Arabidopsis thaliana: one gene and its partners. The protein of the gene in region 2 interacts with the protein of the main gene of each other region in a pairwise test. Each region holds a gene or a part of one and is shown on either strand. Other genes may lie near its edges. The genes, in order: CIPK9, CBL6, CIPK1 and MTN1.

Region 1 (5,860 bases), on a different chromosome or scaffold from region 2:
GCCACTTCTCCGGATGCCGACGCTGTTTCCTTGTCTGAAACCCTAGATTCGATCTCTTTCGGTTGATTCGATCTCGCGTAATCAGATTCTGGTGAAGTGGGAACAGAAACCATTACGATTCTTTCTTCCGGAGGAGGTGAATCCCAATCACCCAAAATCTCTACACTCTCTGAATCTGAACGTTTCTCCATTCTTAAAAACTTTGGAATGCGAAATTTGCGACTTTATGGGCTTTACGGGCTGTTTGATTTGAAAGATTAGACAACTCACACAACTTATTGGGCAATTAACGTTGGTCTGCTCAACACCAACTCCTCACTAGAAACCACTCCGTCATCAATGTGTGACTGTACATCAAAATAAAACTTTTTTTTTTTGGTTGCAAACGTAGATCTATGTAGCTAAGATAACCTCTCTTTAATAATTCTATCATTGTGTTTTCCAAATTGTTATATATGTTGTGTCATTGTAACGCGTTGCCATAAAGCGACAACATCGTTGCAACTTTCAACTATACTCAAATAGCCAGCTTGCAGAGTATTTTTTGCCTAATTGAATTGTTTGAACTTTGATTTATAGGTTTCAAACCGAGTTTGAGGATGATCACATATGTGGCTATTGACTAACCTATGGTGATCTACCTCTATAGACCACTTCTAGTTCTAGTTTGGCTCTTTTGTCAGCAATACTTGTATATTGCCAACTCCAGAATGTTTACTATTCATTATACATGTTCAACATTGATTAAAAACTTTGAATTGAACAACTTGTTATTTCTTATTGCTTTTGTTCTTCAGCGGCTGCATCAGTATTCCAGACTACATCCTTTAATCCAGATGAGAAGTTTTTGTAGAACTGCAAAAGAGATTCAAACATAAAACCAATTTAAACACTAAACTAGAGATGTTAACCGGATCAAAACCGAACCGGTTTTTGATGAAGATCAAACCGAATCACATACCTTGTGAAACTCGAGGGTATCACCACCGGTTTTCCTAAGCTCTACCACATGCAATGATGGCGCCACTTCAAACACCTATTAAACCGATTACCAAACCATAACAATTAGATAACGATATTCATCAAAATCCAAAAACCGAACTGAACCGGAGTATTTTTTTCTTTCTTACCTCTGTAGCTACGGAGAGCTGACCTTTACGACCACTTTTGTCTCCTTTCATTTTTATCTGCGAAGTTTACTTAAACAATGTTTAACGAAGCTACAAAGACATTAGTTGACACAAACAAAATCAAGAAGAAGAAGAAGAAGAAGAACAGACCTTGTAGTTGTCTTTACGGACATTAAAGCCTAATGGCTTTGCGGTTTCTTCCATTTTCGACATTATTTCACTCGCAGATCGTTGAGAAGTAAACCGCGTTTCTTTCTTCACAAGTTGCTGCAAACAACAACAAATCAGATTTAGTTAGATAAAACCTATGCATGATTTTAGAAAATCAAGACAAACTGTAAGTAGAAAAAAGTTCTTACCGCTTGCTTCTCGAACAAGTTTTCAAGACTGAACTCGCTTGAGCTAGAGATAAGTTCGAAAGCGTTCATGGATACAGGTTTCTCCTTCTTCTCAGTTACAAGACATTCCTAGAGTAGCAGCACAAAAAGAGTGATATTAGTTGGTAACAATACATTGGTTTACTTAAACCGAACTATGATATACACAACCAGATGGAGAATTTGGAAATGGCGGTGTTTACCTTGGAGTTACTAAAAGCAGCATCAACATCATCTATGGTTATGTCCTCGTCATCTTGGTCAAATGATGGCGGCTTGTACCCTTTCTTGAACCATTCATCTTCGAGCAACTCTGCAATACTTATTCTCTGCATTTCAGAAATAAGTACATACTTAAGCTCTTGCACAATCTATGGTTGGCAGCATGTCATGTTCACATTTTCACAACTATTACTTCATGTAAGAGGCACTTACGGTAATAGGGTTGGGTTCGAGAATACGCTTGATGACTCTCTTGGCACCTTGCGAGAACCATGGTGGGCAGCTAAACTCAGCCTTGCATATCTAAAGTATATATTAAACACCAAAGATGAGACTAGAAAAGTACTGCAGAAGATCAAGAAGCAGAGGGAGAGATAATTTACACGTACACGTTTGTATAATGTCATGAGATTCGGCTCATCAAAAGGCAAGTAACCAGCCATAAGCACAAAGAGAATGACACCACAAGACCAGACATCTGCTGCTGCACCGTCATAGCCTTTGTCCGACAAAACCTGCCAGCAAATCCAACACAATGCAGTAGACAACATTAAAGGCATATCTCTTATATACATCATAAATAAAGAAGATTCTGCAAATGAAGTCTATATATACGTATAGCATTTGTTAGATTTCCTTCCTTTTTAAAAACGTATTAGCAGTTCTTGAATTCCTTAAAATCTTATTTTCCAAAGAGGATCTACAGAACATTTCATATTCTTTGCCTTTTTAAGTGCTGAAAGTTAGTACATAATACCTCAGGGGCAACGTAGTTTGGCGTTCCACAAGCTGTATGAAGCAAACCATCTTCCTGCATTCAAAAGAACAATGCTTAGAACACTTCATTCAAATTGATATCTTGGTTATATATATCAGAAATTAATTGCCAAGTGAAAAATATAATGGCATTACCCGAACTTGTCGTGAGAAGGCGCTTAACCCAAAATCAGAGACTTTCAAAACCCCATTTGCGTCAAGGATCAGATTTTCAGGCTGCAACAAGGAACAGATGATAACAAAAGAAACTTGAATAAGAACTAAGAAGAATGAATATCGTAATCACAGGAAACAAGAAGAGTGCACAAAAACAAAAGAAAGACCTTGAGATCTCTGTGGTAGACACCTCGACTGTGGCAGTAATCCACAGCATTGATGAGCTGCTGAAAATATCTCCGAGCTTCATCCTCCTTAAGCCTCCCTTGTTGCGCCTATGTATATGATTTAAATCCAAGAATTAACATAAGAGTAAGAAGAGAGAAAGACAGAGAACATATGTCAATATTTGTGAAGAGAAAAGAGAGGAAGATTCTCTAAGTTAGGTTACTTACGATTTTATCAAAGAGTTCACCTCCATTGACAAGCTCAAGAACGATATAGATCTTCGTTTTGCTCGCCATAACCTACCACAGAGAGATGTTTTACACGCTAAGATTCAAAACTTAATTTAAAAAATATCTAAGGAATGATAACTAATTAGTTTCGTACCTCAATGATTTCAACCACATTTGGATGTTTAATCAGTTTCATTGTAGATATTTCTCTTTTAAGCTGCACAACAACAAAAAAATAAAACTTTATGATCATTATATCTTCGAGATCTTGCTCATAACTTCCAATCATACATATATAGCATACAAAACTAAATCTTCAACAGATTCAAATCGAACCAAATCAAAAACAAAGCTACTCGAACTTCAAAACCATATCCATATCATAGTTAATAGTTATCTTGATCAATGCGTACTAAGATCAGCATCGTGTAGATATATACAGAAACAAAAACATTCATACAAAATTCGATATTTTAAAATATTATTGTTAACACTTTAATCAAACATTAACCTTAATAACCGAACACCAACCTAGGAGGACATGTGGGTCCCTAATCACGAAATTAAACTGTTCTTTATAGTACTTAAAAACAAACAAATCCATAATCATTTTACGTGATCAAACCAAACACAATTAACGAACCTGTTCGACCATTTTGTGACGGAAGACCTTTTCTCGGTCGAGGATTTTGATAGCGGCTTGATCTCCGGTGACGGTGTTCTTGGCGTATTTCACCTTAGCGAAGCTTCCTTCTCCGAGAGTTCGTCCCATCTCGTAATTCCCTACTCGCGTCCTACTCGCCGGCGTCGCCTTCCTTCTGCTTCCACTCATTTTCTTTTTCCGATTAAGAAAATCAACGGCTCTAGATCGGCGGCGAATCTATCAATGTGATTCTTCTCCCTCAATATCTCTCCTTCTTCTAGTGGCTGCCTGGTTTTAAGGCTGACGAGAGAAAGTGGACGAGCGAGAGATTTAATAGGCGCGACTGGGAGTCACGCGCGTATTGTGGGTCCCGTATGCCACGTAATGTCAAAAATCATTATTTTGCTCTGTTCCGCGTCAGTCCCGTGTTATTTGTACTTGTGTACGTTCGTAACGTTCATTCTTCATTCATATAAAAAAATTCCATAATTTTGTTCTTGTGTGGTAACTATATACAGAAACTCCTGTTTAAGTATATGGATTTTATGAAAATTTTGGGGTTTTAAATTTATGTGGATATGGTTTTATTTGTAAGGGATGTGATTTGATGTCCTTAATCTTTATGTGTATATGAGTATATCTTTCAGTGATTCATTCCATTCTACTGATGTTCAAAGTTGACTGTTATCATATTATTTGATATAGTTGTATTCTTTTCATGTAGAAATATTCTCTAAATATAACTTTTTTTTTTGTCTTTAGTTAGAAGTTGGAAACTACCTAAGAACAATAAATACATATATCAAATGTTGGTAGTTAAATGATGATTGTTATATCTTGGTCAAATTTTGTTTAAATCTATGATAATATTCGCATATACTTACTTTTGTTTAAATTTGATGTAGCTGTTTATTTTTGTTTGTAACGGTTCTAAATTTGATTATTTAAAGTATATGATAATAAATAAATAGATAATTGAAATAGTTGATCTTTCCATGTGACGATGTGAGTAAAGGGAACGGTATGAATATGAACCCCACATATCCTTCCTGATAAACTCAGAGATTTCACAGAATGTGATAATGTTTTTATTTTTCTTCTTTCCTTTATTTGTTTCTCTTATTTTCTTTCATATGATAATGCCAAAATACGCAGAAAAATTAAAAAAGTGTGGCAGACAGTGTGAGTTGATGATTTATTGCATGACTAGTAATAATGATACAATAATTTTTTAGATATGTTAGTATATTACGAACAAAAGAAAATGCAAATAATGCACAATGAACCACTCGTTCCAATAATTGAGTCCGGTACAAAAACATCACGTCACCATCATATGAAAGCAATTCATTTGGTTATCAATTTGAACTTCTTCATTCCACATTTTTTTTATTTTCCTGGTTATGAGTTGGAACTTATTGGATTATATGGATTAAAATTTAAAACCTATATAAACCAAACTATTATTTGGTTTGATTTTGTATTTACTTTCGGTTTAGCTTGGTTTGTAGATAGTTCGAGTAGACCGAACATCCGAGTCCTACATATATAAGAAAGATTGGCCCATTAACCAAATTTAGGCTTGATTGTGAATTAACATTAGGGCCCAACTAAAATACTTTTTTTTTTTTTTGCCATCCAATAACATTATTATCGCATATGTTCCGCATCATCGTTTACACAAATGATCAAATTGACCAAGTTAAGTTTCTTTTCTCTTTTTCTACATAATATTTGTTATTTAAAGCATTTGTATAAAATTATATACTGATAAGTGATGGTATATTCAATAATTTGTGTTTGTCTTTTTGTGATACAATTAATTATCCTTTATGGTTCCATTTTTTTTTCGTTGACAACGTTGAACAAAGATGGTCAAGGGGCCTAACTGTTTCTCACACAGTTTCCTTTCAGGGTTTAGTATTTGCCGTTTTAGTAACGAAGTTAGAGATTCATACGTATAATTATAAATAGTAGAGTCGGGTCAGATTGTGTTTCTTATCTAATTGTTATATATATAAAATTTGATAAAGCATATAATGTCTTGAAAGATTCAATCGTGAAATATGTGTACAAATATGTAAAATCTAGTTGCACCGCACGGCACCTTTTTTTCCTTCCTCTCCCACGTTTATTCTCGCCTCGTAACAGAAATTA
Region 2 (3,753 bases):
GAATGTTAGGCAGACCCAGCCAAAAAATTAAGTGGGTGAAAAAACGTTACACTGGTTAACATAATTATTGGGCTTCGTGGCTTCTCTCTCGTTGACGGAGAACTTAACGGTGTGTGATTCCAAGTCGGATTAGAACCTCCGTTATATATCAATGGGAGTTTTGGCCGCTTGTTGCTGTTGAGTTGTGTTGTCTTTGATTGAAACGACGGCGTATACGTCCATTTTGTCCGTGACATATTCGATATGGTTGACGTCACTAGCTGATACAATTTTGAGCTCAAGAGTTGGGTTCTCCACGGCTCTTTGCAACTGTGATGAAGATATTTTCGAGAGATCTAGTATTGTTTGTTCTAATCTTGGGAAAATGTCCAAGTATACAATGATCTATGAGATTCAAGTTAACCAGTTTCTCATTCACATGAATCTTTCCTTTCTCATGTTAAAACTATCTCGCCATTTGGGTTCCCTGTAAAATATGGTTGTCCGGATTTTACTCCAACTAACAAATTTAGATAGAAAGAAAGAAGAAGCAACAAAATAAAACTAATGCCGAGTAAAAGAATCAATTTGCACACTCCAACAGATAAGATAAACCGAACAAGTTTGCGGATACACAAACATGTGAGGTAATGCTGCTTTCAGAACGTATTTATTAAAAATAAAGAGGAGGGTTGTAATAGAGTAATGGAGAAGAAGATAAGAATCAAGTATGAATGATCTTGTAAAGGGTTTTGGTCTTTCTTCACATCCCTGATCATCCATCCAGCTCACTAGGAGTGTCTGTCACTATAGTGTGAAATACAAAATTTGGAAACGTCTTTGTTACGTCTCTACACAAAACACAACATACAAAAACATGTTAGTCCCGCACGAAGAAGATAATAAGGCAAATAACATGGCTAGCTTACTTGAGATGTTGAAGGCTCATGTTCTGTAACAGAGAGGGGTGGCGCAACACAAGACTCCTCCACTCTTCCTTATCAATCTTCCCGTCCAGTTTAGTATCAGCTTCTTCAAATGTCTACACACACCAATCAGTTTTTACATCTCTTGTCAAAGATTAAATATGAGAATCCTAGTTAGTGTCAATGGAGGAGATCAACCAAACCCACCTTGTCTATGATGCTCTCAATCACATGATCAGAAAGGTTCATGCCAGATTCAGCTAGAGTCCGCACAACCATTTGCTTCACCTCCTGTCTCTTTATATAACCTTGCTGATTCAGATCATACAGCTTGAAAGAGACTGCAGAGACAAAAGATGAGCTTGATCCAAGGTTTGGATATGACAAAAAAAAAGAAGGTCAAGTCTCTCTCGACCACTTACACTCAATCTTATCCTCAAATTTAGCATTAGGGTGAAAGACCGAAAGTGAACGAGCAAAGGCTTCAAAATCTAGAATCCCAGTATTCTTGGTATCAAACAAGTCAAACACCTGCAAAGCTTGAAGTATGAGTGTACAGCAAGGAAACTCATATAAGTGAGTTACAAGTCTATCTAATTTACCCTATCAGCAAAAAGGCTTCTCGTTGTGTTCATTTTGAATAGTACCAATTGAAATTGTTCCTGCAATATATTTGAAAGGATCCTAGTGAATGTAGAGGAACAGAGAGATATAGTACTCGTGTCCGACTATGGATTCTTGCATACCTTGTCGATAAGCCCGTTTTTGCTAATGCTCTTGAACAGTTCGTAAAGAGCTTCAATCTCATTCACTGTAACTGCATTTGGTACATAAAGCCATTGTTGGGGTTGTGACAAATAAAAATAGTAAAAGTAAATGTAGGGGTAGACACATACACACAGTGCCTCTAGCCACATCCTTAGGGTTCTGACGAACCTTGGGAGGATCAGCATCACAACAAGTCAACAGAATTAAGGCTAAGTGCTTTAATCCATCTAAACATTGCATCATCATCTCTCCCAAAAGTCACTATGTCCATGCCTACCACAAACAGAAAAAAGGTTAAATCCATTGAATGTCAACAGAAACCCTCTAAACATATGGCATCAAGAAAAAAAATCAAGAATCGAACATAAATTTGCCGATCCAATGGAGACATCAAATGAATCTAGTCTTGACTTTTTTGAGAGAAGAGAAGAAGATGAACCAAAGCAATATACCTATTCTTTTTTTCTCGTTAGCGTGTAAAGAAGCTTCAGATCACGACTTGTTCCAAGAGTGTTTATTTTTTTGACCACGATCTGATATTTCTCTCTCTCCATAAAAGTTTTTGTTGGCTACAGAGACATGGGAAAGGATCTACAAGTTCGTTGGCGTAAATAAGTCAACTCTTAGTTGGTGACCACTCTAACAAGTTGACATTTCGAGAGAGAGAGAAAAAGGAAGATACTATGATTCATTCATCATAACTAACAAGATTCAGAAGACCAAAAAAAGTCTGTTTTAGGGAATAACATTCACAAAACAAGCCTGAAGGTGAAGTTGATACGCTTTGGCAAAGAATGAATCCAGCCCTTCTGACCACCAACTATCTATGTTTTTCAATGTCAAACTTTGTTGATCTTCTCTGTTTCTTCTTTTTGACCTCTTCCTCCTCACAGGTCCTTTGTAATTATTTAACAGCAAGCTGTTGAGTCAGCTTCCAAGAAGCGCTTTGTAAACCTGACGAGACAAAAGATAAATGTTGGTTCCAAGAACACAAGCGACTTCTCGCATATAAGAGGTTCAATTTTTCTAGTTGATACGGCCAAACCAACAAAAGTCTCTGGATTCTGAAGACGAACCAATCAAAAGTGAATGGTAAAGATGTTAAATTTGCTTCCTCTTTTTTTATATACCAAACAACATACCATTCAACTTTATGATGTAAATTTTATTGTTTGTTTTGTTGGGATTAGTTTGAAATAAGTGTTCCCAAGTCAGCACAGGCTTATACTGCAAGACCATCACAATCTCACTTCCACTCTGAATCACAGATATTAACTAACTAGGCTAGGCTCTCTCTATATGTACTCAAGGATTATTTCCTTCTCTATCTCTATCTCTTATCTTGGTTGTTATATGTTTCCATCATCTATGAGGAATAGTTGAGTGGTGGAAAACAAATATCAACCAAAACAGAAAACTTGATATAGCCATAAACTCAACTGGTGGGAAAAGAAAGACATTGACCACAAAAACATAAATCTGGCCACTTCAAAGTTTACATCTTTTGAAACATAGAGCATTACCAAACGAGTGAGTTAATGAATTGAATACAACATCTATCTAATAATTGGTGAGAATGATGACCATTGATGTGCCTACCACTGATTAGACTGAGACCAAATGTGGGGTGTTGGGGGGTAAATTCAACCAAATCAAACTATAGGGTAATAAATGCAATAAAGAAAAAACAAAGAGATGAAAGTAAAGAGAGAGCAGAAAATGTGAGTGGGGGAAGATGGAGAGTGGTATGGGAACAACAACAATTGATGCTATGACAAACAACAACAGCAAGAAATTTGTGTGAGAGTAGAGAGTCTTGCTTCAGTTGAATCAAAGATTGGTCCTTTTTTTTTCGTTTTCTCTTTCCTGCTTTTTTTGTTTGTAGTTTCTGATCTCTCAGGAAGGCTTTTTATAAATTTGCCCTCAATTTCTCCGTCCCTACTACTCTTTTTGATCAATTTCTACGGGAAAAAGCACCAATCTTTAAACCCGGGCATGTCCTTGTAATCGAGTATGTTGTGTAAGTGATGAATTTGTGGTGAGATCTGGTGAGAAGTTTCCTCTTTTTTCTCAGATTGCG
Region 3 (6,229 bases), on a different chromosome or scaffold from region 2:
AAGAAGTGCAGTGGAGCAAATTCTTTACGGTAGATGTAGACATTGGTGGTCGTGCTATGTTATCGTATGACAGTTTCTTCATCGACAAGGAGAAAGGAATGGCCTTGCTATGTGGGTTGTGAGACAAGTAACAGACTTGCGAGCAAGAACCTTGTATACATTGTTGGGGAGGACCGTGAATACACAGAAATCCATTTTGGCGAATGGCCTAAGTTCATTCCTTTTATGAACTCATGTGAGCCGTTTTATTTTCAATTATGTTCCAAGTTTGGTTCAGTATTAGTCGATACAGGTAAGGACGTAATTTCTTCAATCTCCTTTTTTTGTTTATTCGTTTTTGCGTTTTTGTAGTAAAATCGTTTGATTAATCTATGACTAGATATATTATTTTGATTCCTGGCTTATTTGCACTACATTCAAGTTCCAACTAAAACAAGAACAAGTTGTGAATTTGACTAACTTTAAAACTACAATTGTTACATTCCAGGACGCTAAATGTTGATAGGTCACATGACTCATGACTCTTGAGAGTATTTTATGAGACGAAAGCAACATAGCATAATACTAAAAATTTATATACGTAGATCGGTTGGTGCGGAATTGAATGATGTACAGATACAAACTAAACACATGTATATTATTTACAAAAATAATGAAGAGATTTTTTATGGGATCTTTTTTGCTAGTAGGCAGATTTGCCACACCAAATAATAATAAAAACAAATACAAAGGTAGTGAATAAAATCTCTAATTCTTGAGGAAAGATCTACGCCACGGTTTATACTTAAATGCAATTACTATTTGCACTAATCATATAAATCGAGCTCCTTTTATATATACTTAAGATAATAAATTATATGAACATGGATGGTGTGTTCCATATGATAAATTATTAGAGCTATGTATATCTCTTCAGCCGAAAACACCAACACCTAAGTTACTATCTCTTGCTCCGGCGAGGATGTGCCCACGTCTTTTAATAGTCTCTCGTACAACTGCACCAACCCCAATATCAAACATAAACATTTTTATCTTTGATATGTGTTTCTTCAGTCTAATTAAGAAATGACAATAGTGGCATACCTGTCTATATAAACATGAATCGCCATAAGATTTTCTTAGCTCAACCACGTTCAGTGACGGCTTTATCTCGAAAACCTGATATCATAAGAATTTCTTCTATTAGTCAAATAATCTCACTAAATAGTCTATTGAACAGTGAAATAATGTTTACGTAATAGTTAATATACCTCAGCTGTTACTGATAAACCAACTTGACCTTTCTGGTTTCTTTCTTCTTGTTTTACTCTTAACTGAAACAAAATACAGTTTAAAGTTTATAAACCTACAGATTTGAAATTCCAAGTTGCTAAGGAAGAGGAAGACCATGTTGTGAAGACCCACCTTGGCATGTTTCTTTTGTACACTGAATCCCATTTCTGTAACGGCTGTTTCGATTTTCTCCAGTAAATCTTTTGCTGAGCTATTTGAAGTGAATCTTATTCTCCTCTCTGATACATTCTGAGAAAGTAAAAGTATAACTCCTTTTTATTATACATTGGCTCAAGCAGAGAGCAGATCTTTGAAACAGAGTATTAGAAGATTAGTTACCTCTTGTTCAAAGAAACCGGACAGGTCAAGAAAGGAAGACATTCCGATTAACTGAAACGCATTGATGATGGTCGGTGAATCACTGCCCTTCCCTTCTTCTGATCCCTAGACCATTCAAAAGAGAGACAGAGAAATGAGGACATTGTACTTGACTCAAATGCAGTTGCGATAGAGAGTAAGGGTGGCAGATTCTTACGAGTTCTTGGATTGAGAAAGCATCATCGTCTGTGTCAACTTCTTCTTCGTCATCATCATCGGGAATTGAAGGAATGTACTCAAGTTTGAACCACTCGCTGGCTTTAATACCCACAACTGTGATCCTCGTGACTGGATTTGGATCAAGCATTCTCTTAATCATGGTTCTTGCACCCGGGGATAACCATCTTGGTATTGGTGGGTCTCCTTTACATATCTAGAAATCAAATCAATTATCAAGCTTATTTCTTCAAAATGTGTATTGAATTGGCATATATATAAGAAAAAATGAGGTTTACCTTCTGGTAAAGAACTGCAAGGTTTCTGTCGTCGAAAGGAAGACATCCGGTTAGAATCACATACAAGATTACACCACAGGACCATATGTCTGATGCTGCACCATCGTAGCCTCTGTTAGCTAAAACCTCAGGCGCAACGTAATTAGGACTTCCACAGGTTGTATGCAACAATCCGTCATCCTAAAATGCCAAAGAGAAAATTAGTTGTAACTCGAACGGATTCAACAATTATAATTCTGCTGTGATATGCTATGGTTTTAAGATGATATTTTCAAGTACCCTAAAATGCTGAGGCAGAGCACTGAGGCCAAAATCAGTGATCTTTATATGTCCCTTTGCATCAAGAAGAACATTCTCTAGCTGCAATATAGAAAAACATCAGTACACTATTCCATAAGGTTTCCATGGTTTGAAACACAGTGAGAGAATCACAGACCTTGAGATCCCTGTGGAAAACACCTTTGCTATGACAGTAGCTGATTCCATCGATAAGCTGCTGAAACATTTTTCTTCCATCAGTTTCTGTTAATTTTCCGTTGGAAACCTGAGAGTTATCATCAAAGTGTGAGTTTAGCAAAAATGACACTCGTCAAAAAAAGAAAAAAAATCTTTTTTGCTTTGAGCATAGAGGCTAGTAAGAGTCTTACAATTCTGTCGAACAATTCTCCTCCGGTAACAAGTTCCATTACCATATTAATTTTCGTTTTGCTAGCCAAGACCTGCATGATTACCATAAGGAAGAGGCCATTAGTTTCAAGGTAAAGGAACAGTGAGTTCTGAGGTAAGATGTTTCATGTTTGAGAATCCAAAAGATTAGTCACAAGAAAGAAAAAGAAACATTTAGAATTCGAATTGCATTCATATCCACAGATTACATAAAAAACACTTAGTTGTCCAAGACACGACAAAGTTAGTCACGAGCTTAAAAAGTGGACCACGTGTATCAAATAAGTGAAGATCCACAATGGTTGCTTAACCAAAAGTCACGATTAATCTCGTGTTAAATGGCAAAGAGGAAGAAGCAATCGAAATAATTAGAAGTCAACAATAAAACGCAAAGATACAGCAAGCAATGACCCATACAATAATCATCTGAAATAATACTATATGAATAAAATAAAATAAAAAGTAAAACTAAGCATAAGATCAAAGAGGGTCCACATGATAAAAAGCTTAAAAGGGTACTAAGATTAAGCAATTATATGATGATCAAGCGACATATCCTGCATTTTTCACGATAATTTTTTTTAGGACCCCACCTTTGAATTGAACAGGTCAGATTTGTGTTACCGGCCAAGCCACCATATCAAATAATGGAATAATTAACTTAATAATTATGTAAAATGATGCGGCTAATTGGCAACGTGAAAAACAAGCTAAATGAAACATGTTTGGGTACGAAACCAAATGACTTGTAAGAATATTCCTAAACAGTAAAAAAAAAGATCCAAAAAGCAAACAACAATTATCCAAGATTTGAGGTGTTTTTAATCCTCGTCAGCTCCATTTTGATAGATAAAGAAACAACAATGAAGAAATTAACTAAAAATAGTTTACTAAACCTAATCTAACAATCTAAAATGACGAATCAAAATTTGAATAACCATCCATAAGCAGGCAATAATTCGATCACTTTCTGTCATACTCAGGTATATACTAAATAAACAGAAACAAGCAAACAGAAGAATAATCAAAAATTGTTATACTAATTAAGCAATAAACCTTTTTACTTCCTAATCACAGAATCATTTCGATAATCCAAAGATGATTATACACAAAAATTTAAGATACGGACCTCATGTAATCTAACAATGTGGGGATGTTTCAACATTTTCAGAGTCCGGATCTCTCTTTTTATCTGCACAGATTCATAAGAATTGGATCTGTCAAATTACAAATTTAGTAAAAGAAGAGAAAAGAAAAAAATTAGAAATGATGATAGAGAGATGGGAACCTGTAAGGAGAAGTTGAGATCGGCGATACGAGACTTGTCGATGATTTTAACGGCGAAGGAATGACCGGAGACGGTATCTTTAGCGAATTTAACTTTACCGAAATTACCCTCGCCGAGCGTCCTCCCTAGCTCGTATTTCCCCAGACGCATTCCCTTCTCCGCCTTCTTCTCCTCCTCTTGCCTTCTCACCATCCAATCAATCTCCTATTTCAATTTATTTCCCAACAAATTAACAGACAACCAAATCGATTTCTCGCTTGAATCTTCCGATTAGATTACTATTAATTCCGTTATTGAAAGAGGGGAAGTAGATTATTGTAGCTGTGCAGGTATGTGTGTGAGGGAAGGAGATATATATATATATATATATATAGGTGTAGGTAAAGAGACGAGGAAGATTGGGAAGAAGAAGAAGAAGAGAAGAAAGTGCCGGTTGAAATTGAAGAGAGGACGCTACTTCTCTTTGTTTCCTCTTCTCTTCTTATTATATTCACTTCTTTTTATATATATATTCCTCGTTAACTATTTTTTTTTGGTTTTTGTTAGCCAGATTTTTATTGGATAACTAGAAACATATTAATCTTCACAAAAGAAAAAGATTAATCTAACAAACCATATAAGATTTGATATTATCGAAATAAGATTTTTTTAGTAGGGTACTTATCGAGATTTATTATTATTGGTCAAATAAAACTCCTATCAAATGAAATTATGTCTATGTTCATTATAAGGAGAAATTTAAAAAGGATCTTATTTCTGTCAACAATCAAAATATGGAAAATATACGCAAAGAGTATATTGATTTATCAGAATAATTCTATATATGATGTATATTGCGAATATGTGTGTATTTTATGTGTGTACTTGTATGCATCAATAGGCCCACGTCATTTGTTGCATTAGTTTTATGTTGAAATTAAATAATAATAGATGAAAAAATATATTCATAAGAACTTTTGGTTTAAAGTCAGAAAGAAACGCTACAAAAAGATTGGTGCTTGCAGTTTTATAGTTCTTGTTACTGGAGCAGTTTTGATTTGGCTTTCGGATTTTAGTTCTTAAATGTAGAAACAAACTTGTATACACATAAAAGTTCACAAGGAATCACATACTTTCCAAGTTTTCATGTTGGAGTTACTTAAAAGTTGAAGTCCAACTATGATTTCTTAAAGTTACAGTTTAGTTTTGTACCTTTGTTATAAAAGAGGAGATCAAAAGAGACCTAAACTTAAGATCAAGTTATATATACACACTACAACAAATTAAACAACGCGTTCATAACCCATTCGTTTCTATGGAAATTTTGAACTTATGACTTGGTTTCATAGACAGTAGGTCTTCATTGTCGTGGCATTTTCAGTTTAAGAGATAATTTGGTAATAAACCATTTATATACGTCGATATCGTGCATGAATTGATAATTAGATTTAAAACACTTTTTTACGATAGTGCTTTCGGTTTGGGGGGAAATAAACATGGTGCTTTCAGTTTTATATTGTTTCTGTCTTTGTAGACTAATAATATTAGTTGTAGACTTTTACAAATTTTTAATTCGCAATATAGGCAAGCGTTTAGAAACACAATCGTTAATGATACACTTAAAGTTAATATTTTTTAAAAAAAACTATGGTAATTTATACTATATTTCATGTCTCGTCCTTTGTCGGCTCACAATTAATTAAATCACATGGAACCATTCAATTTATATTTGTTTTTCTTATGCGGTTTGTGTATTTAATTAAAATAAATAAATTGTTTTTGAGAATCCAAAAGTTTCAATAAACCAGGGCCTGGGCACCAGGCTAATCTCTTGAATTTGGAAAACTCCATATTATATCTTTTTATTGGATACATAGATTATTGAAGAATGTAGTGGTTCTTAGCTCTCGTCAGTCGTCCCAACATATTTTTGGTAATGAAAAGGTCATATGTCACATGTTTCTCTACACATCTTTTTCCCAAGGTTTTTATTAAAATTTGTAGTTAGTAAATGATGTGGCTGAAATGAATAGATACTATATAGAAAAGGAGAAAAAACCAATAATTAAAATTATTCGAGTCTCTCAAACGTGTCAAAATGGCCGGTGATAGTATTGCTGCCGGCAGTGAGTAACATATTGATTGATCTATGTTATCAGAACCTCTCTCTCTCTCTCTTTTGTGTGTAGAT
Region 4 (4,280 bases), 8.9 Mb from region 2:
ATTAGTACCTTAAAAGTCGATTTTGAATAGCTGAATACATTGTCTAATGTGCTGAAAATAGGTTGTGGACACGCGGGGACGGTTGCTTGTAGCATTGGGTTATGGATTGTGGCCATCAATGGTTCTGATCTCAGAAATTGTTCAAACTTTCATCTTGGCAGATTTCTGTTACTACTACGTCAAAAGGTACGCATTAGTCCTTCACTTCAACAGTTTAGCTATTTAGCTCTTTGTATATATCTCAAAAGTTTCAACATTTTTCTTTACAGCGTTTTCGGAGGCCAGCTTGTTCTCCGGCTACCGTCTGGAGTAGTATAAGTTCAAAAGATAGAAATACCCCAACGATGTCCTGCGATGAGCTTGACGGAAATTCTAATTGGGAAAGATAGCTCAATTTTTCTTTACCTCTGATTTCATCGTTTATGTGTCTTGAGGTTTCACCAAGTGTCTCGGTTACGAATTAATTTTACAGTGTTGTATATTTTGCCTATCAAGGGATTTAACGTCTTTCAGGTCGATAAGTTATCTTTGAAATTGTTTCTTTACCAAAATTTAAGCAACACTAGGGAGAGAACGTCTTATAACTTGAAATTTATTAACGAGAAATATGATCACTGGAAATCAGTGAAACTGCAACAAGCACGTTGAACGCATTTTAAAAAATCACTCTCCATAAAAAAGGAAGAGAACAGAAGTTAAAGGTCCGAAAGGTTTCTCCCATTGATGAAGTTGATCACTTTAGTAGCAGTTCCCTCTAATGCAGCGGTCACAACTGTCAAGTTCTGCAAGAACTCTTCTGCTGTAGGTTTATCTCCGTCCACTAGATCGGTCACGGCTTTGAGGAACACGACTGGTATTTTCAGAAGATCAGCCACATACGCCACGGCAGCACCCTGAAGAATCCAGAGCCAAAAGAGTTTCAAAACAACAGTTTCATTGATTTTCTGGTTAGATTCAGTAATAAGAATTGTTAACATTACACTACCTCCATGTCCTTTAGCGTAGCATCATTGGCAATGATCAATGTTTCATCTTGCGTGGACATATCCAACGAGTCACCAGTAGATAACCTGCCAATCTGAACCACCCCAATTTTGTCAAAATTGAAATAGTTAAAAGAGTAAGTAGCATCTTGAGTCTATTAAATACCTTCAAATTGAGTTCCTTGAGGAGATTGGGTGTCGAGAATGCCTGACGGAGACCAACTCCATACAGATCAAACATCTAGAGAGATAAACAAACATTGCTCAGGAACTTGCAAGATGAACTGGCAAAAAGGGAATCATCACTAAAGATGGAAAAAAGAAAGAAAGGAAGATGAACCTACCGGAATTGGTATTCTTCTATCATGAAACACAACATCAGATACAAGGAATACATCGCCTATGTTGGCTCCTTTGACCTGCAAATGTTCAGCCAATCAGCACTTTCATTACATGAAAATAAACCAACTTTCACAACATAAAAATAGAGATATGGAGAGAGAGAGAGATCTTTTATGATGCAACTCAAATCTCAGAGTTGAGTAAACGAGCAGTAACAAAATCAAACCCAAACCACAAGTAAAGAAAGAAGAGAGGACGTGGTTCTTAGCAAGGATGCTGGAAGTCAAGACAGAGCACACGAGAAGTAAAAGAACTGTACCTTGAAGCCACCGCAGGTTCCGGCATTGATTATGATGTCAGGTTTTAATGCTTGGATGGAAGCAAAAGTTATGAGAGAAGCTGGAACAGTTCCAACACTATCGATCCCTGGAGAGAAATCTCAGTTAGTAGCATAAAAAAAGTGCATTCATTTTCCCTCATACCAAACAATGCAGCGACTTGAGAAACCAAAGCTACTATACTAAAATGCTGAGAGATTCACAGGCTAATTATCATATCTTTGAGAGCATTGAGTGCAAAGCTTACCTAAAGCTGCATCTCTTCCGGGGCAAACTACATTGATTCGAAGATCTTTATGCACGCCGTGATACAGAACCCAGGGCAATCCTTTACCAAGCCTGCAAAAAAGTAAACTTTGAAGTGAGAGATTCATGGAGATCAAATCCAAACAAGCAAAATCGAAAAAAGGAGAGCTCTTAACGGCGAATCAGTAGTTTCAGAGAGTCCGAACTTGTTGACCAAAGGAAGAGCCTCCGCTTGCATAGCTGCAGCTCCGTCAGAAACACACAAAAAGTAAGTAAGAAGACGAAGAAGAAATCGATCGAATCGGAAACTTCATAAATCATAAAGTACCGATGACGAAGACGACTGAGGAGATCGGTCGAAGAATCTCCGATTGAGCATCGACCTCAGGTTCTTCGATGTCACTTAATCCATCTCCATGAGGAGCCATAACCTTATCCCTCTCTTCCGATTCTCGGCGATGCGTTTGATTCCCAGGAAAAATCCGAGAATCGGAAAGAAACGGCTGGAAACTCCGGCGAATGAGAGATACAGTTTATTCGTTTTTGGACCTTTTGGTCCTCTTTTGTGTTTCCACTTACCAATAATAATATAATAAAAACAAATTATTTTTTTGTGCTAATGACCGTAATTAATTAAATTTAGCTAAGTTTTTGTACTAATCTGGTCTCCTTGTAGTTTTAGCCAAGCTCTTGTAATCAAATTTTCAAATTCTTCAATTAACTTCAGAATATTTATTTCACACTTTTAAAGATAACTCAAATGTTTCATCATAGCCATTCAAGCATCATAAACGTAAACAAATTTTAACGAAATTAAAAAACAGAGTAAACATTGCATCCCATGGTCATTAGAAAAAAAAAAAAAAAGGCATGAGTAGAATCACCACACCAACAAGAGGAAACCCCAAACTTTCAATTTTATACATCTGAAAGTAAAGACGGTTTTCCTCATTAATCTAAAACTTTTGGGGGTAAACACTCAAAAGTCAAAACCATATAACATTTGTTGCTGCTAGTGCTGCTTATTCCCTTCTATGATTAGTTTGAAGGCTCCTCTGTATCAGTCGAAGTTGACGGCAGAAAGGTAGCCGAGGTGAGCGGCTCGTGAACCACCGAGTTAGAGGAAACCGATATGGGACTACCCTCGAGCTGCAACATTATACTCCCCAATATCTCTGCCATTGTTTTCTTAAACTCTTCTTCCTTCACCACATTTCCATCATCTCCATTCACCATCTTCAACGCTTCCATTATCATATTATCCATCTTATAAACAAAAACAAACTTAACTAATCAATGCCGTTCAAAAAATAAAAATAAAAATTCACTAATAATTTTTGATTAAAACACTAATTCTGGTTTCATTTGTTTAACAAATAATTGTAACATGTAAATTCAAAGGCAAAATAAACAATTTAAAAGACAAAATAATTTAGACGGGGCATTATTTACCTGGGACACAGCGCCTATTGGTGGTAAAGTGGCCGATGGTGCAACAGTGTCAAGCACAGCTCGTAGATATCCTTTAGACACCTTACCCTGACGGTCTTTTGGAATCGTCTCCATGGCAACGTTTAGTGCCTGCGACCAAACCGTTCCGGATCATCATCACTCGTTACCATCATTTAAAAAGTTTTCCTTTAGCATAAAAGCTAGATAACATATATATGTATGGTAGTTTACCTTATCGAATTCGAATTTATTGGACAAGAGCCTCCTGATACCGCTCCCATCAAAGGTGTTTTCGCTGTGAGCAACGATCACGGGCTGTTCATTGAGACGCTGAGCCACACTCTCCACGACTCTCTTGAATGCTTCCAAGAATCTCTCCTGAGACGCGCTTTTCTCTCTTTTATCTTCTTCATCAAGACAAGAGTCAACAATTGGTTCTACGATGTTGCTCATCACCTGTTACAAGGACTTTGCTTTTTAGGCAAAACTCAGTTGTCTCTAGCAACATATATAACATCAAATACGAACTTGGATACATATTACGTATCATATGTACTCCCACCATGTAAGTATCGTTCTGATATTTTGTACAACAAAAAAAAAACACCCGAAAAGTATTTTTACGGTTTTGGTAAAAATACAAAAACAAACGGTTCTTAATATTATATGCTTTATTTTATCAATCATATAAATTTAGATTTGAAGTTAAATTAGGAAAATCCATAGCTTAACAGAAATATATAAAAATAAAATAAATAGGTACCCATGGGTCGTTGGAAGGAGGCATTCCATGATCAACAGAAAGAGACTGGAGAGCTTTGACGATACAATCACGGAGCGATGCGTCCTTGCTACTGGAGAGCTCTGAGAAAACAGAAATGCTCTCGATTTCATATCCAGGGCCGTGGACAAACTCCGA

The links.
Region 1: the proteins of CBL6 (region 2) and CIPK9 interact in a two-hybrid assay, tested with the Arabidopsis thaliana proteins (one study listed by BioGRID).
Region 3: the proteins of CBL6 (region 2) and CIPK1 interact in a two-hybrid assay, tested with the Arabidopsis thaliana proteins (one study listed by BioGRID).
Region 4: the proteins of CBL6 (region 2) and MTN1 interact in a two-hybrid assay, tested with the Arabidopsis thaliana proteins (one study listed by BioGRID).

Annotation. Positions count from the first base shown.
Region 1 is NC_003070.9:63,621-69,480, forward strand, and holds CIPK9 (CBL-interacting protein kinase 9), read right to left. Parts: upstream 4,006-5,860; 5' UTR 3,893-4,005; coding exon 3,704-3,892; intron 3,278-3,703; coding exon 3,215-3,277; intron 3,130-3,214; coding exon 3,058-3,129; intron 2,938-3,057; coding exon 2,830-2,937; intron 2,723-2,829; coding exon 2,642-2,722; intron 2,541-2,641; coding exon 2,487-2,540; intron 2,245-2,486; coding exon 2,119-2,244; coding exon of another isoform or gene 2,113-2,118; intron 2,033-2,112; coding exon 1,943-2,032; intron 1,837-1,942; coding exon 1,711-1,836; intron 1,598-1,710; coding exon 1,490-1,597; intron 1,398-1,489; coding exon 1,281-1,397; intron 1,188-1,280; coding exon 1,131-1,187; intron 1,037-1,130; coding exon 950-1,036; intron 856-949; coding exon 778-855; 3' UTR 547-777; downstream 1-546. Other genes in the region: AT1G01130 (CBL-interacting Serine/Threonine-kinase), read right to left, coding at 1-191. UniProt on the Arabidopsis thaliana protein: CIPK serine-threonine protein kinases interact with CBL proteins. Binding of a CBL protein to the regulatory NAF domain of CIPK protein lead to the activation of the kinase in a calcium-dependent manner. Involved in K(+) homeostasis under low-K(+) stress.
Region 2 is NC_003075.7:9,241,751-9,245,503, forward strand, and holds CBL6 (calcineurin B-like protein 6), read right to left. Parts: upstream 2,163-3,753; 5' UTR 2,126-2,162; intron 1,947-2,125; 5' UTR 1,920-1,946; coding exon 1,802-1,919; intron 1,723-1,801; coding exon 1,652-1,722; intron 1,568-1,651; coding exon 1,508-1,567; intron 1,437-1,507; coding exon 1,328-1,436; intron 1,247-1,327; coding exon 1,113-1,246; intron 1,022-1,112; coding exon 909-1,021; intron 831-908; coding exon 755-830; 3' UTR 549-754; downstream 1-548. UniProt on the Arabidopsis thaliana protein: Acts as a calcium sensor. CBL proteins interact with CIPK serine-threonine protein kinases. Binding of a CBL protein to the regulatory NAF domain of a CIPK protein lead to the activation of the kinase in a calcium-dependent manner.
Region 3 is NC_003074.8:5,988,377-5,994,605, forward strand, and holds CIPK1 (CBL-interacting protein kinase 1), read right to left. Parts: upstream 4,626-6,229; 5' UTR 4,252-4,625; coding exon 4,060-4,251; intron 3,964-4,059; coding exon 3,901-3,963; intron 3,703-3,900; exon of another isoform or gene 2,840-3,702; coding exon of another isoform or gene 2,825-2,839; coding exon 2,753-2,824; intron 2,650-2,752; coding exon 2,542-2,649; intron 2,466-2,541; coding exon 2,385-2,465; intron 2,286-2,384; coding exon 2,106-2,285; intron 2,024-2,105; coding exon 1,808-2,023; intron 1,717-1,807; coding exon 1,612-1,716; intron 1,522-1,611; coding exon 1,405-1,521; intron 1,314-1,404; coding exon 1,251-1,313; intron 1,159-1,250; coding exon 1,084-1,158; intron 996-1,083; coding exon 933-995; 3' UTR 548-932; downstream 1-547. Other genes in the region: AT3G17500 (F-box family protein), read left to right, coding at 1-122. UniProt on the Arabidopsis thaliana protein: CIPK serine-threonine protein kinases interact with CBL proteins. Binding of a CBL protein to the regulatory NAF domain of CIPK protein lead to the activation of the kinase in a calcium-dependent manner.
Region 4 is NC_003075.7:18,112,660-18,116,939, forward strand, and holds MTN1 (methylthioadenosine nucleosidase 1), read right to left. Parts: upstream 2,518-4,280; 5' UTR 2,338-2,517; coding exon 2,238-2,337; intron 2,150-2,237; coding exon 2,086-2,149; intron 2,003-2,085; coding exon 1,911-2,002; intron 1,752-1,910; coding exon 1,645-1,751; intron 1,403-1,644; coding exon 1,328-1,402; intron 1,225-1,327; coding exon 1,150-1,224; intron 1,079-1,149; coding exon 986-1,078; intron 894-985; coding exon 696-893; 3' UTR 502-695; downstream 1-501. Other genes in the region: AT4G38790 (ER lumen protein retaining receptor family protein), read left to right, coding at 62-186, 270-318; AT4G38810 (Calcium-binding EF-hand family protein), read right to left, coding at 2,948-3,175, 3,362-3,490, 3,593-3,817, 4,125-4,280. UniProt on the Arabidopsis thaliana protein: Enzyme of the methionine cycle that catalyzes the irreversible cleavage of the glycosidic bond in 5'-methylthioadenosine (MTA) to adenine and 5'-methylthioribose.